3 linked regions of the Macaca mulatta genome follow. The protein of the gene in region 2 interacts with the protein of the main gene of each other region in a pairwise test. Links are inferred from orthologs where the notes say so. Each region holds a gene or a part of one and is shown on either strand. Other genes may lie near its edges.

Region 1 (3,749 bases), on a different chromosome or scaffold from region 2:
TAAGTAATAGAATTAGAATTTGACCCGTTTTAATTCCACAGCCAGCTTACCCAGTACATGTCAATCAATGCCTGAAATCAAACAACCCAGGATTCATCCTTCCCCTCCTTAAGCCTATCTAGTCACTTACCTGGTCCAGCCTCCTAGTCATACGCGTTAAATGCCATGTCGTTTCTCCTTCCACTGCCAGCACACTAGCATTTACTAAGTCCTTACTATGTGGCAATCACTATTCTAAGTAATATACATGTTTTTTCAAGTTCTATCCCCCAAACTCTGAGATGAAAAACCTAAGGAACAAAGAGGTTTCAGTGTATGACAGAGCCTGATTCCACCCCAGGTAATCTGAATAGAGAATCCCTGAGCACTTAACCCCTCCATTATAACAGCCTCCAACTTAGTCTCAATACCGCCCATCTGGAAGCCCACCATCCTCCAGATGCTGCAGATATCTTTCTGGAACGCGAATGTTATCATGACATTCTCCTGCTTAAAATTAGCAGCTCAGTATCACTGACTGGATAAAGTCCAAATTTCTTAATCTGGTATACAAAATCCTTCATTTTTCTGTTCAAGTCAATTCAGTAAATATTTTAGTGACCAATGTAAGCAAGAAAAGGTGCCAAGTGCTCTGAAATGAATACCATACATGTCCCTGACTACTACTTCCACCTTGGACACTGGGTCCTTCGGCCAGACAAGCCCATATGCAAAGCTCATAATACAACAGCCCAAAGATACATGCATTTATTTTTAAGTGGCCTGCGTGCTCCGTGCCTACAATGTACGATATCCCAAATCAATCTGAAGGCTAGGTGCCTACGTAACACCTATTCTTACAGGTCTCCAGGCAGAAATGCTCCCTAAGTTCAAATTACTTCAGGGTAACTAGCGGGATAAAAGCATGGATCAGTTTCCAAATGAGAAAACTTCTGGGCAAGAACTAACCCCTGCCATCAATGGCTGGCATGCAGTAGGTACTTTATCAGTGGCTAAATGAATAAATAATGAAAAAATGTCAAAGCTGATGAGAAGACGAGAGAAACAAGATATATGGAGAATGTAACACACAAGTGGGCCGAATTAAAAGTAATGTTATTCTACTTTGGTTCTCATTTGGCCTACTTTTACCCCATGGGAAAACTCACATGTGGGACTTGGACAAGCTTAAAAAGCCAAAACTTTGTTATTCATGGCTCAACAAAGCTTTGACAAGCCAAAAAGGATACCAGATTCCCGCTTCCTTCTTTACCTGCCAAAGTCCATTTTCTAAAGAGGTGTGGGGGTGGGAATCAAATCTAGCAAAGTAAATAAAATTGATCTACTGAGATCCAACTTCATCAGTGCTGCATCGAAGTACATGCAAAAGAAATATCAAAATCTGTCCTGGGAAGAAGGCCAATTTACAAGTAAGTACTATTGCCGCAAGAATGTGAAATTCTTAAAGGCAGTTCCAATAAGCTGGAGCTCACAAGTGTTCCTCCTCCTGCACCGCCACCGCTCTTCACTCAACTTTGTTTCTGATTTCTGTGATTTTAAAAAGGATAATAAATACAGCAAAGTCCATGCATAAGTGTACTTTAGCTCCTGGCACAAACGAACGTCTGGATTCATAAACTCAACGTAAACTGAAATACTAGAAGAAACACTACATGAGTCAAAAGTCCTTGTTTAAAACGTGGCATAAAGCTTTGAAAAGCGAGTGATGTATTTCCTGAACGATGCTTTGTGTGCAACTGGTTCCAAATCAAGATTCGCATTTTTAAATTACCCACTGGAATATGTCAAATCTATCTCCCACCCTCTCCAGCCTAAAGAGAAAGGTGAGAATTCACAGGCAACAGGCTAGGGCGGAGGGAACGATCTCTCCCTATCCCTTTGCAGAGGAACAAAATCCGACAAAGGCAGCTAGTGCCACTCGCATTGCCGACACCACACACACACACACAGGAAATTTAAACACTCACCCCACCTCTCCCTTCCCTTAAGAAGCAAACGACGCCAAGATCTGCACCGCGGTGGCCGGAACCAGCAAATGCTAACAGCCGGAGGCCGCCCGCCTCCAGGGCTCCTACAGGCGGCGGGCACCGGGCGCCGACTCTCCCTCCCCGACCAGCCCCACACCGGAGTCCACGCCAGCCCCGCAGCCCGGGCGAGCAAAGACAGCCGCGGACGACCAAAGCTCCGGGGCGAGCAGCGGCGCCGCTCCGGCCGCCTCCCGGGGCGCGGCGCTCCTCCACACCCAGCCGACGCCCGCACCTGAGGCGGCTGCCCGCAGCCGGGGAGAGGGCGCGCAGCGAGGCGGGCAGGACAAAGTTACTCACTGGGAAAGCGCGGCTGCCCGGGCCGCGCACGGCCACCAGCTCCCGCTCTCCGCGGCCCGCTGAGGGAGCGGAGAGCCTGCCCGGCTCCGCTCCGCCGAGAATTGCCGCCGCCGCCACCGCGGATTTCCTGGCAAGAAGCAAACTCCGGCCAAGACTTCACTTCTCAACCGCCCCTGCTGCCTTCCCGGGGGCCAGCGCTAAGGCCGAGCGGCCCAACCCGCAGCCGGGCCAATCGGAGGTAGCACAGGGCGGGAGGTGGGCGGACCAGAGGGCGGCTCCACCTATCCGAGAGCTCGGGAGGCGGGCCAGAATTGGCCCGTCACTCCTGGGTTAGAGTGAGACCACTCCGCCCTCGCCGCCCGCCTCCCCCACCCGCCCCGGGCTGTCCCCGCCGCCCGCCTGATTCCCCTGCGGAAGCCCCGGGGGCTAGGTGCCTGTGCGCACCCCGGGCCGCTGCCAGGAGTGGCACTGCTCGGGAAGGAGTGAACATCCAGAGGAATCGCGGGGCGGGGTGGGGGGAGGCTAGGAGAACAGGTGGCGCAGGGAAGCAGAAACGTAGTTGCGCAGGACAGCTGGACAGCTGGAGTGGGGCAGGGTCGGGGCCGGCGGCTAGGGGAGAAGGGCCTATTCGAGAGGAAGCGCACCTGAGGGAGCGTGGCCGGGGCCGGGACAGGGAGCTGGGCGGAGAGCGAGTCTGGGTGGCGAAGGTTGCCGAGGCGGGGGCTGGGCACCTGGGAACAAAGGTGAGGGCGGGTTCCGCAGGTGAAGAGGTTTGAAGAGCCACAGCGGGTAAAGGGAAAGGAAGTCCACAGCCGGAGAGGACGCGCTCTGGGGGATAGAAGGAATCCTAGGACGGAAAGGATGAGGTGGGAAACAGTTTTTTCCCAAACTCTCACTCCCCCAAAAGAGAAAGACATTTCTTTCTTGCCCTTTATTTGACCCAGTTGAGAATGCAACTGCAAGGTCCCCGGTGAGACAAATACCGCCTTCAACCCTCGTATTCTGTCGTGACTCATCTTGCACGTGACCTCCTCCCTCTTCAAGGTGTGTTGACCGACTAGAGCCTAAGCCTGTCGTCCCACAGAAGGCCCAGGAGGCCGGGGTCCCAGGAAGGGCCATCCTGGGTCAACACCGCCCCAGTGGGGGAGTCGGGCCTCTTTCGCCCTTGCCACTGGGAAGGGAAGTGATTTGGGGGCGGCAGGTAAAGCCCCGCTCCTTCACCATCACCTGGGGAAAGGTACCAAGGTTGAGCTGGCGCGCCCGCAGGCCTGTCTGGGCCTCGGGGTAAAGCGGCGCTGGCCCCACCCCCTGCCCCTCCCGCCGTGAGTGGCCTCGCCTGGTCGCCCAGGTGAGCCGCCGGGCCGCGAGCCACCGCCCACCCCGCGTCGGGGCGGAGCCTGGGGGCGGAGCCTGATGCCCCGCCCC
Region 2 (3,749 bases):
GGTAAAACCCAGACTTCCAGGACTGGCTGGAAAGTAAACTTACTAATTATTTTAGTTAGATTGGCAGTCAAGGTGGAAAAATGAGAGCTAATTTATTGGCAAATACTCTGTTGCTCTCAGAAAATGTTGAAGGTCTTTTGGTGCTTTAGGATGTGTGCCAGTCCAGGGTGGCCCTGACCTTCTACAGCCGTTTCAGAGAGGATGTGCCTCAGGTGGCCTGAAGATACAGTAGCCTAAAACTTAGCACACAGTCACTGATTGAGAAGCTGAACAGGAATAAATTTTGAGGGCAGAGATCCTGAAGGACACGACAAGTATTTACAGGGTACTGTAAGATGGAGGCGGCGGCGGCGGCGGTGGTGGAGGCGGCGGCTGTGGCGGCGGGTACTGTGGTACCGGAGGCTGGCGGTACCAGTGTGGATTCCAAGTGATCATAACAGGTACATATAGTGATCTTCCTTGTCCGTCTCTTCCCACTGGGTACCAGGCGAATCCTACTGGGTAGGTCGGGTATGCGGCATACGTGGGGTACGTTTGGTATCCAGGTATTTGAGGTACGAATTCAGTGTACGTTGCCAGGTGCGCTTGGTCTTCTAAATTTGGAATAGATAGGCGAGGATACTGATTCTGGATAGTAAAATTGTTTGGAGCTCGGCAATCGTAAGAAACTTGCAGTTTCCACCCCCTCTTCACCTGGAGAACTTGGGCTCCATTAGGTGCGATCGTTGGAGTAATCAGCCCATCTTTCACATTTCTTGCCACAAAATCTCGAAGAGCTGCCATTTCAGGTTCAGACAGTGAGTACACATGTCCGCTGGGAATACTGTGTGCTCCAGGTATCATTTCTATGTGAGGGTCAACCAGGCGGTGATCTGGGTAGACGTGCTCATCTACTGGAGTGTACACATTCTGGACATAGTAATATCTCACTGGTTGGTAAACTCTGTATCCATCTACTGGATAATAGAGTGGCGGTTGTTGTGCTGGTGGTGGGAGCGATGGTGGTATTGGAGAATACATCCGGCAGTGGTAGCGGCAGTATTCAGAATCAAAGACAATAGATCGAGTGCTCCATGTGATGTTGGGATCATGTGTGCTCAGCCAGCGAACCCCTAGGACGACAGGGAAGAATGGAGACTGAGTCACATCAAATGACAGCACTTCACGGTGATCTCCCAGGTCAACTATCAGGTCGTGAGTTTCGTGGACAACTGGGCCCGATGCTATGGGGCGCCCATCAATTGCTTCCACAAGTATTGGCCAGTCCTTGATTCTTAGAGGAATTCCATTTTGAGCAACGTATTCGTGATCAATGAAGTTGCCAGAAGCACCAGAATCGATCATGGCTCGGACGAACAGGGTGTGTCTGCCCGGAAGATGAATCTGGAGCATCACTTGCAAGTGTGGAGATGAGGCGTCATCTTGTGGGGACCTTATTATTTCTGGCCCGGTCGCTGAAGGTCCCTCTACAGCGGGGCCGGGGAGTTTCCCGCCGGCGAAGACTTCGAGGCCTTGGCAGGACAGTTGTCAGCGTAGTGACCTCCTGTTCCACAGTAGAGGCACAGGTTCAGCTTTCTGCGTCTTTCTTTTTCCTCCTGGGTCAGGCGCATGCGGGCACCTCCCACCGGCTCGGTTGGATCTACCTGGTGGTGGCTTGCAACGTGAGGCAACACCAGCGCCCGGGGTGGTGAGCGTGGCTTGCGAGCTGCAGCAGCCCTGGCCAGCCTTCTCTCAATGTGAATGCACTGCCCAATCAGAGCAGACAGCGACTTGGCGACCTCGAGGTGGGAGAGCTCCTCCTGAATGTGGTCGCTGAGGCCCTCGTGGTACTGGTCAATCAGCGCAGGCTCGTTCCAATCCAGGTCCTGGGCAATCATCTGGAAAGCATTGGAATAGTCGATGACAGACCCCATGCCTTGGCGCAGGCGTCTGATCTTGCGTTTGGCAGCCTCTCGCCTCTGAGGGTCTTCAAAGACATGCTTCATTTCCATCATGAAAGCTGGGTAGTTGTGCATCAGGTAGTGGGAGCGCTCCAGCTTTGCTGAGGCCCAGCGGGCAGCACGGCCGGTCATCATGCTTGTCACGAAACAGACACGGACACGATCAACTGAGAAATCTCTGGTGCTCTTTTCCATGAAGATCTGGCACTGGGCCATGAAAGGAGCCAGCATGTCTGGGTTGCCATCGAACTTCTCTGGAAGGTCTTCTGGGCACTCTTCCTCTATTGGAGGGGGTGGGGCAGCAGCTGCTGCAGCACCGCGGAGCTCGATGTCATCATCATCATCCTCAGGGGTGGGTTCCACTTGCTCTCGAAGGGTGGTGTTCTCCTCTGTGAGCTTCTGCACCTGGTTCTGCAGGTTGCTGTTCTCCTCGGACTGCTTAATGACCTTCTCTCTTAGGTTGTTGATCTCTTCAGAGAGCTCATCCCTTCTTCGTTCGGTCATGTTGGGGACACACGCGCTCTTATGGCCGGTGTGCTTGGAGTTGTTGTTGTTGTTGTTGTTGGGGGGAGGGGGAGGGGGAGGAGGTGGGCAGTCGGGACCCAGGGTGACGGTTGGGGTGGGAGGAGACCTCCCAGCTGTAGCTTCACTTCTGTGGGGATGGAGGCCTGGATCCTGGCCCCCTCTTCCACTCCTTCTTTTTTTTGTTTTCAAAATCCGCTTATTTCTGTAAATAAAGATAAATGTATAAATCCAACTTATAGATTCAAAGCAGCAAAATGCAGACACAAAGGATTTAGTATTTAAATTATCCCTTGCTCCATGCACTTACTTTAATAATTAGCGAACAAAGAAAACAAACTTTCAAGAGAAAAGTATCAATCAGCACCATAGATAACAAAAAGGAAACTACTTTTTGATGTTCAAATGACCTTGTCTTCCTCAAAGGCCACCTGTTCATTATGATTCAACAATACATCATCAACAGCATGCTTACCTTTATAAACTATAAAAGAATGTTGAAACCCTCTAAACAAGTAGTTTTGTATTGAAACAGAGGAAGAAACTTCAAGGCAAACATAGATACCAAATCAATTATGCAAATTAAAGCCAAAATAATAACTTTTGTTACTAAAGAAGCTAGGCCAAAAATAGTTAATACTACAACTAATAGAAGCTAATTAAAAAAGAGGGGAGTATTAAAATCACAATGCATGTATTCATCAGCCCTGTGGGCGGGAGGAGGGTACTGTGGCCAACTGTCACAACCCTGTTTCACTGCCACAGAGAAGGTCACTGGTTATCAAATCAAACAACCACCACCACAAAAACTACAGGACTGCCTAAATTACTTTTCTGACCATAATTTAAATCCCCAAAGAAAATTCTCTGTGGGACAGAAATGGCACTAAGCAGCAATATGTGTATGTCAGTTTCCCTTGTCATTTATGCAGTCATTCAAGAAATACTAATTGATGCCTCCTAGGAAAAGCTATAAAATGGGGCATTCAAAGAAGCCCAATAATAGTATACCTCAAACTAATTGTGAGGACTTAATTAAATAGTGCAGGTAAATTATGTAGTGAGTATTCAATAATGGTTAGCTGATATTAACAAAGTTATTAATTAGAAAATAGAAAGGTGATTATCTGTGTGAAGAGAGTGGGATTAAAAGAGGGAGGGGCTGCAACTATAGCAACATGGGCATGCATTTCCCACCTAAAGATGTTTACTTTTTTAAAAACACTGTGTTGGTCAAATCCAAGGCCTTATTTGTCTTGCAGGTCACCAGTTTGCAATCCATAGTTT
Region 3 (3,749 bases), on a different chromosome or scaffold from region 2:
CTACTCGGGAGGCTGAGGCAGAAGAATCGCTGGAACCTGGGAGGTGGAGGTTGCAGTGAGCCACGATCGCTTCACTGCACTCTAGCCTGGGTGACAGGGCGAGACTCTGTGTCAAAAAAAAAAAAAGAATTACTGACCTCAGGTGATCTACCCTCATCGGCCTCCCAAGGTGCTTGGATTACCGGTGTGAGCAACCCATGTGAGCAACTGCGCCCGGCCCCTTCTTAATTCTTAGGTTCGAAGAAACTTGAGGTATCTCAATTCAGCATAAGTGCTAAGCCTGAGGGAGGGTCCGGGAAGGTCCCTGGTTAAGGCGGTATTTCCTGGGATGCCCAATTTGCCCTTACACGGAAGGTGTGCTTAGTTCCAGGAAAAACTGCCCTGAGGACTGGAGAAACCAAAATAGAACTCGCCTCTGGCTCCAGATGAACTGCCTGTGTTTCGCCTGAGCACAAGAGTCCCTCCCCTCTCACCTTCTTCAAGACGTGGCTCCAGCAATTCTCTCCCCTGTTGACCCCACAACCATCTTCAATTCCTGCCCCACTTATCTGATCCTCTTACAGCAAAACTCCTGAACAGCTGTCTATTCTTCCTTTCCTGTGACCCCACCACTCCACTGCGGCAGCTCAACATCGTCACCACTGACCTCCAAATGATCAACCCTCCATTGACCCGGCTGTCAGTAAGGCCGAAACAGCTGTCAGCCCTCACATCTCAGACACGCTCTTCTCTTGGCCCCAGGTCACCACCCTCTCCCGGTTTCCCCCTAAGTCTCTGGGCGTTCCTTCTGAGTCTCCTTTAGCTTGCTTGTCACAAGTCCCTGACTGCTCAAGTTGGAAGGCCTAGGGCTTGGTCCTGGGACCTCTTTTCCATCTACACTGACTTCGTTCAGTCAATAGGCTGAAATACCATATATACAGCCAGAGAGTTCCAAATTGCCTATGTCCAGCTTGGGTCTCTCTCCTGATTTCCAGACTTGTACAGATCTGGGCAGAAACCTTAGTTATGCCTGACTCTTTTTCCTCGCACTCAAACCAAACTATAGGTAAGTTTTGTCCGTTTTACTTTCAAACTACATCCAGAATCTCATCACCTCCACTACTCCTGTTCTGGCTGGAGCCACCATCACCTCCCTGTTTTCCCCCATACTCCCCACAATCAACACAGCAGCCAGATTTTGTTAAAATGTATTGGGGCTGGGCGTGGTGGCTGGTACCTATATGAGCACTTTGGGAGGAGGACTGCTTGAGTCCAGGAGTTCAAGACCAACCTGGGCAACATCGTGAGACCCTGTCTCAAAATTTTTTTTTTTTTTTTGAGACATTATCTTGTTTTGTCGTGCACACTGGAGTACAATGGCACAATCTTGGCTCACTGCAACTTCTGCCTCCTGGGTTCAAGAGATTCTCCTGCCTCAGCCTCCCCAGTAGCTGGGATTACAGGCGCCCACCACCATGCCTGGCTAATTTTTGTACTTTTAGTAGAGTCGGGGTTTCGCCATGTTGGCCAGGCTGGTCTCGAACTCCTGACCTCAGGTGATCCACCCGCCTTGGCCTCCCAAAGTGTGGGGATTACAGGCGTGAGCCACTGTGCCCAGCCTCCTGTCTCAAACGTTAAAGAGAAATATTCTTGGAGTTAATCTGGTTCTGAGAGTTATTTAGCTAGGGGAAGGGGATATTTGCCCTATAGGTAAGACTTGCCCTAATCTTAGGGATATTTACTCCTGTGGAGAGATGCAGTGAGGTAGCGGTGGGGATGTATTTTTCAACCCAGGGCAGTGACATTATCTTCAATTTGAGGAGTATTTACGTGGGTGAAAGATCCGCCACAGTCCAGAGTATGCAAATTGACAGGTTTGCGTCAGTCCGGGATGCAAGGACCTAGCGGGCGTGTGTGTGGGGCGGGCGGGGGCGGGGGTGAGGAGGAGGAACCTAGTTAAGGGCGATATTTACCCTGGTGAGGTGATTTTCCCTATTCTGAAATATCAATTCTTGCGGGGACGGTCTGCCCCGCCTGTCATTCTCAGACATATTTACAAAGATGGAGCTATCTTCTCCTTTCTAGTCGTGAGGGAGAGATGTATGTATCCCTGCGTATGTAGTAGTATTCAATCGGACAAGAAATCATGTATCAACGCAGGAGTGACATTTACCAGCTGGTATCATGGGGAGATGGGCACTCCGTTGCACGGTACATGGTAGTCCCTCTCCAAAAGACCTGGGTAAGTTCTTACCTTGCAGGAAGGAAGCAGAGCCATCTGGCCGCGACAGCAGGTTCTGTTCGCAGGCAAAGTGCCGGAGGCTGCAGCCGGGACCCCGAGGGCTGCACCCTGTTCCAATTTCAGCGCGGATTTTGGCGTCAGTATGCATCTCCTCCTCCATCGCGCCGACCCCACGTGCGGCTGCGATTATCACTTCCGCCCGGCAGCGCGCGCTGCGAACACTCTGCGTAACCATTGCGCACGCGCTGGGCTCGGCCGTCAGTCCTGGCGTCCGCACGTGGCTTAGCGTTTACCAACAATCTGGCTCCGCCCAGTCCCACCTCCTAACTCTGGCAACGCCATTGGACAGTTGAGAACAGGAGGCAGGCCTTGGCAGTGACCTGTTTTACTCTGGGCCCCCGGGCCCTAAATCCCTGAGGCCGTGGTCAGGTTGCCCTCTTCTTTGCCTGTTACAGGAGTAACTACAATGAGGCGACTGGGGAAAATTTTGGGTAGATAGGTTTTCTTCTCCAAATCTCTGTGCATTCTATCTACAACAGAATGGGAAGAAGGTGATTTTCTTGTCAGATGGTGCTGGAGTTTGTGTCAGGCACATAAAGGGGCAGCCCCGAATCTAGCCTACGTGAGTGCCCTACCGCTGAGTGGTTGCTAGCCAAGATGGCGGTAGCGATCGCTGCGGCGAGGGTCTGGCGGCCAAACCGAGGCCTGAGCCAGGCTGCCCTCTTGCTGCTGTGGCGGCCTGGGGCTCGGGGACTGGCTAGATCTGTGAGTACCTGGGCCCCAGGGGGTTTTCCCAAAGGGGATTAGGGATGTAAAGGCTATCTTCAGAGTGTGGGGTCCCTGAAGGATATGAAGGAAGGGCTGTCACAGAAGGGAAAAAGAGTGGGAGACCCCTTGGAGAAGACACCGAAGGGAAGATCTGCCACTTCCTTAGAAGAAAAGAACTTCCACTTCTTCAGGAGAGGACAAAACCCGTTTGCAACTTCTTTGTGGGCCCTGAGGAAGGGAGACGACTTGAAGAGAGGGATGGGAGTTCCTTATTTATTTATTTAGTTAGTTTTTGAGGCGGAGTCTGGAGTGCAGTGGCCGGATCTCAGCTCACTGCAAGCTCTGCCTCCCGGATTCACGCCGTTCTCCTGCCTCAGCCTCCCGAGTAGCTGGGACTACAGGCGCCCGCCGCCACCCCCGGCTAATTTTTTTTTTTTGCATTTTTAGTAGAGACGGGGTTTCACTGTGTTAGCCAGGATGGTCTCGATCTCCTGACCTCGTGATCCGCCCACCTCGGCCTCCCAAAGTGCTGGAATTACAGGCGTGAGCCAGCGCGCCCGGCCGGGGGTTCCTTATTAACTGCCACTCGTATTCAGGGGAGGTTCCTTGGAGGGACAGGGGAAGACCGCGAGACCTTTTCCCTCAGGCTTTGGAGAATGAAACTGACTTTATAAAGGAGAGACTTTCTTCTGGGCAAAGATCCCTCTTCAAGAAGAAGAAAGAAGAGAGCAAGTCCCCTTATCGCAGGCTGCATAGGGCC

Evidence for each region. The genes of interacting proteins can lie anywhere in the genome.
Region 1: the proteins of PEG10 (region 2) and LNX2 interact in binary tests that used the Homo sapiens proteins (3 or more experiments, as listed by UniProt). The link is inferred for Macaca mulatta from reciprocal best matches to the Homo sapiens genes PEG10 and LNX2.
Region 3: the proteins of PEG10 (region 2) and EXOSC5 interact in binary tests that used the Homo sapiens proteins (3 or more experiments, as listed by UniProt). The link is inferred for Macaca mulatta from reciprocal best matches to the Homo sapiens genes PEG10 and EXOSC5.

Annotation. Positions count from the first base shown.
Region 1 is NC_133422.1:7,657,658-7,661,406, forward strand, and holds the start of LNX2 (ligand of Numb protein X 2), read right to left. Parts: upstream 2,496-3,749; 5' UTR 2,325-2,495; exon of another isoform or gene 1-2,324.
Region 2 is NC_133408.1:124,716,153-124,719,901, forward strand, and holds the start of PEG10 (retrotransposon-derived protein PEG10), read right to left. Parts: upstream 2,668-3,749; 5' UTR 2,547-2,667; coding exon 1,467-2,546; coding exon of another isoform or gene 319-1,466; 3' UTR 1-318.
Region 3 is NC_133424.1:52,541,516-52,545,264, forward strand, and holds the start of EXOSC5 (exosome complex component RRP46), read right to left. Parts: upstream 2,447-3,749; 5' UTR 2,382-2,446; coding exon 2,234-2,381; intron 1-2,233. Other genes in the region: BCKDHA (2-oxoisovalerate dehydrogenase subunit alpha, mitochondrial), read left to right, coding at 2,879-2,986. UniProt on the Homo sapiens protein: Non-catalytic component of the RNA exosome complex which has 3'->5' exoribonuclease activity and participates in a multitude of cellular RNA processing and degradation events.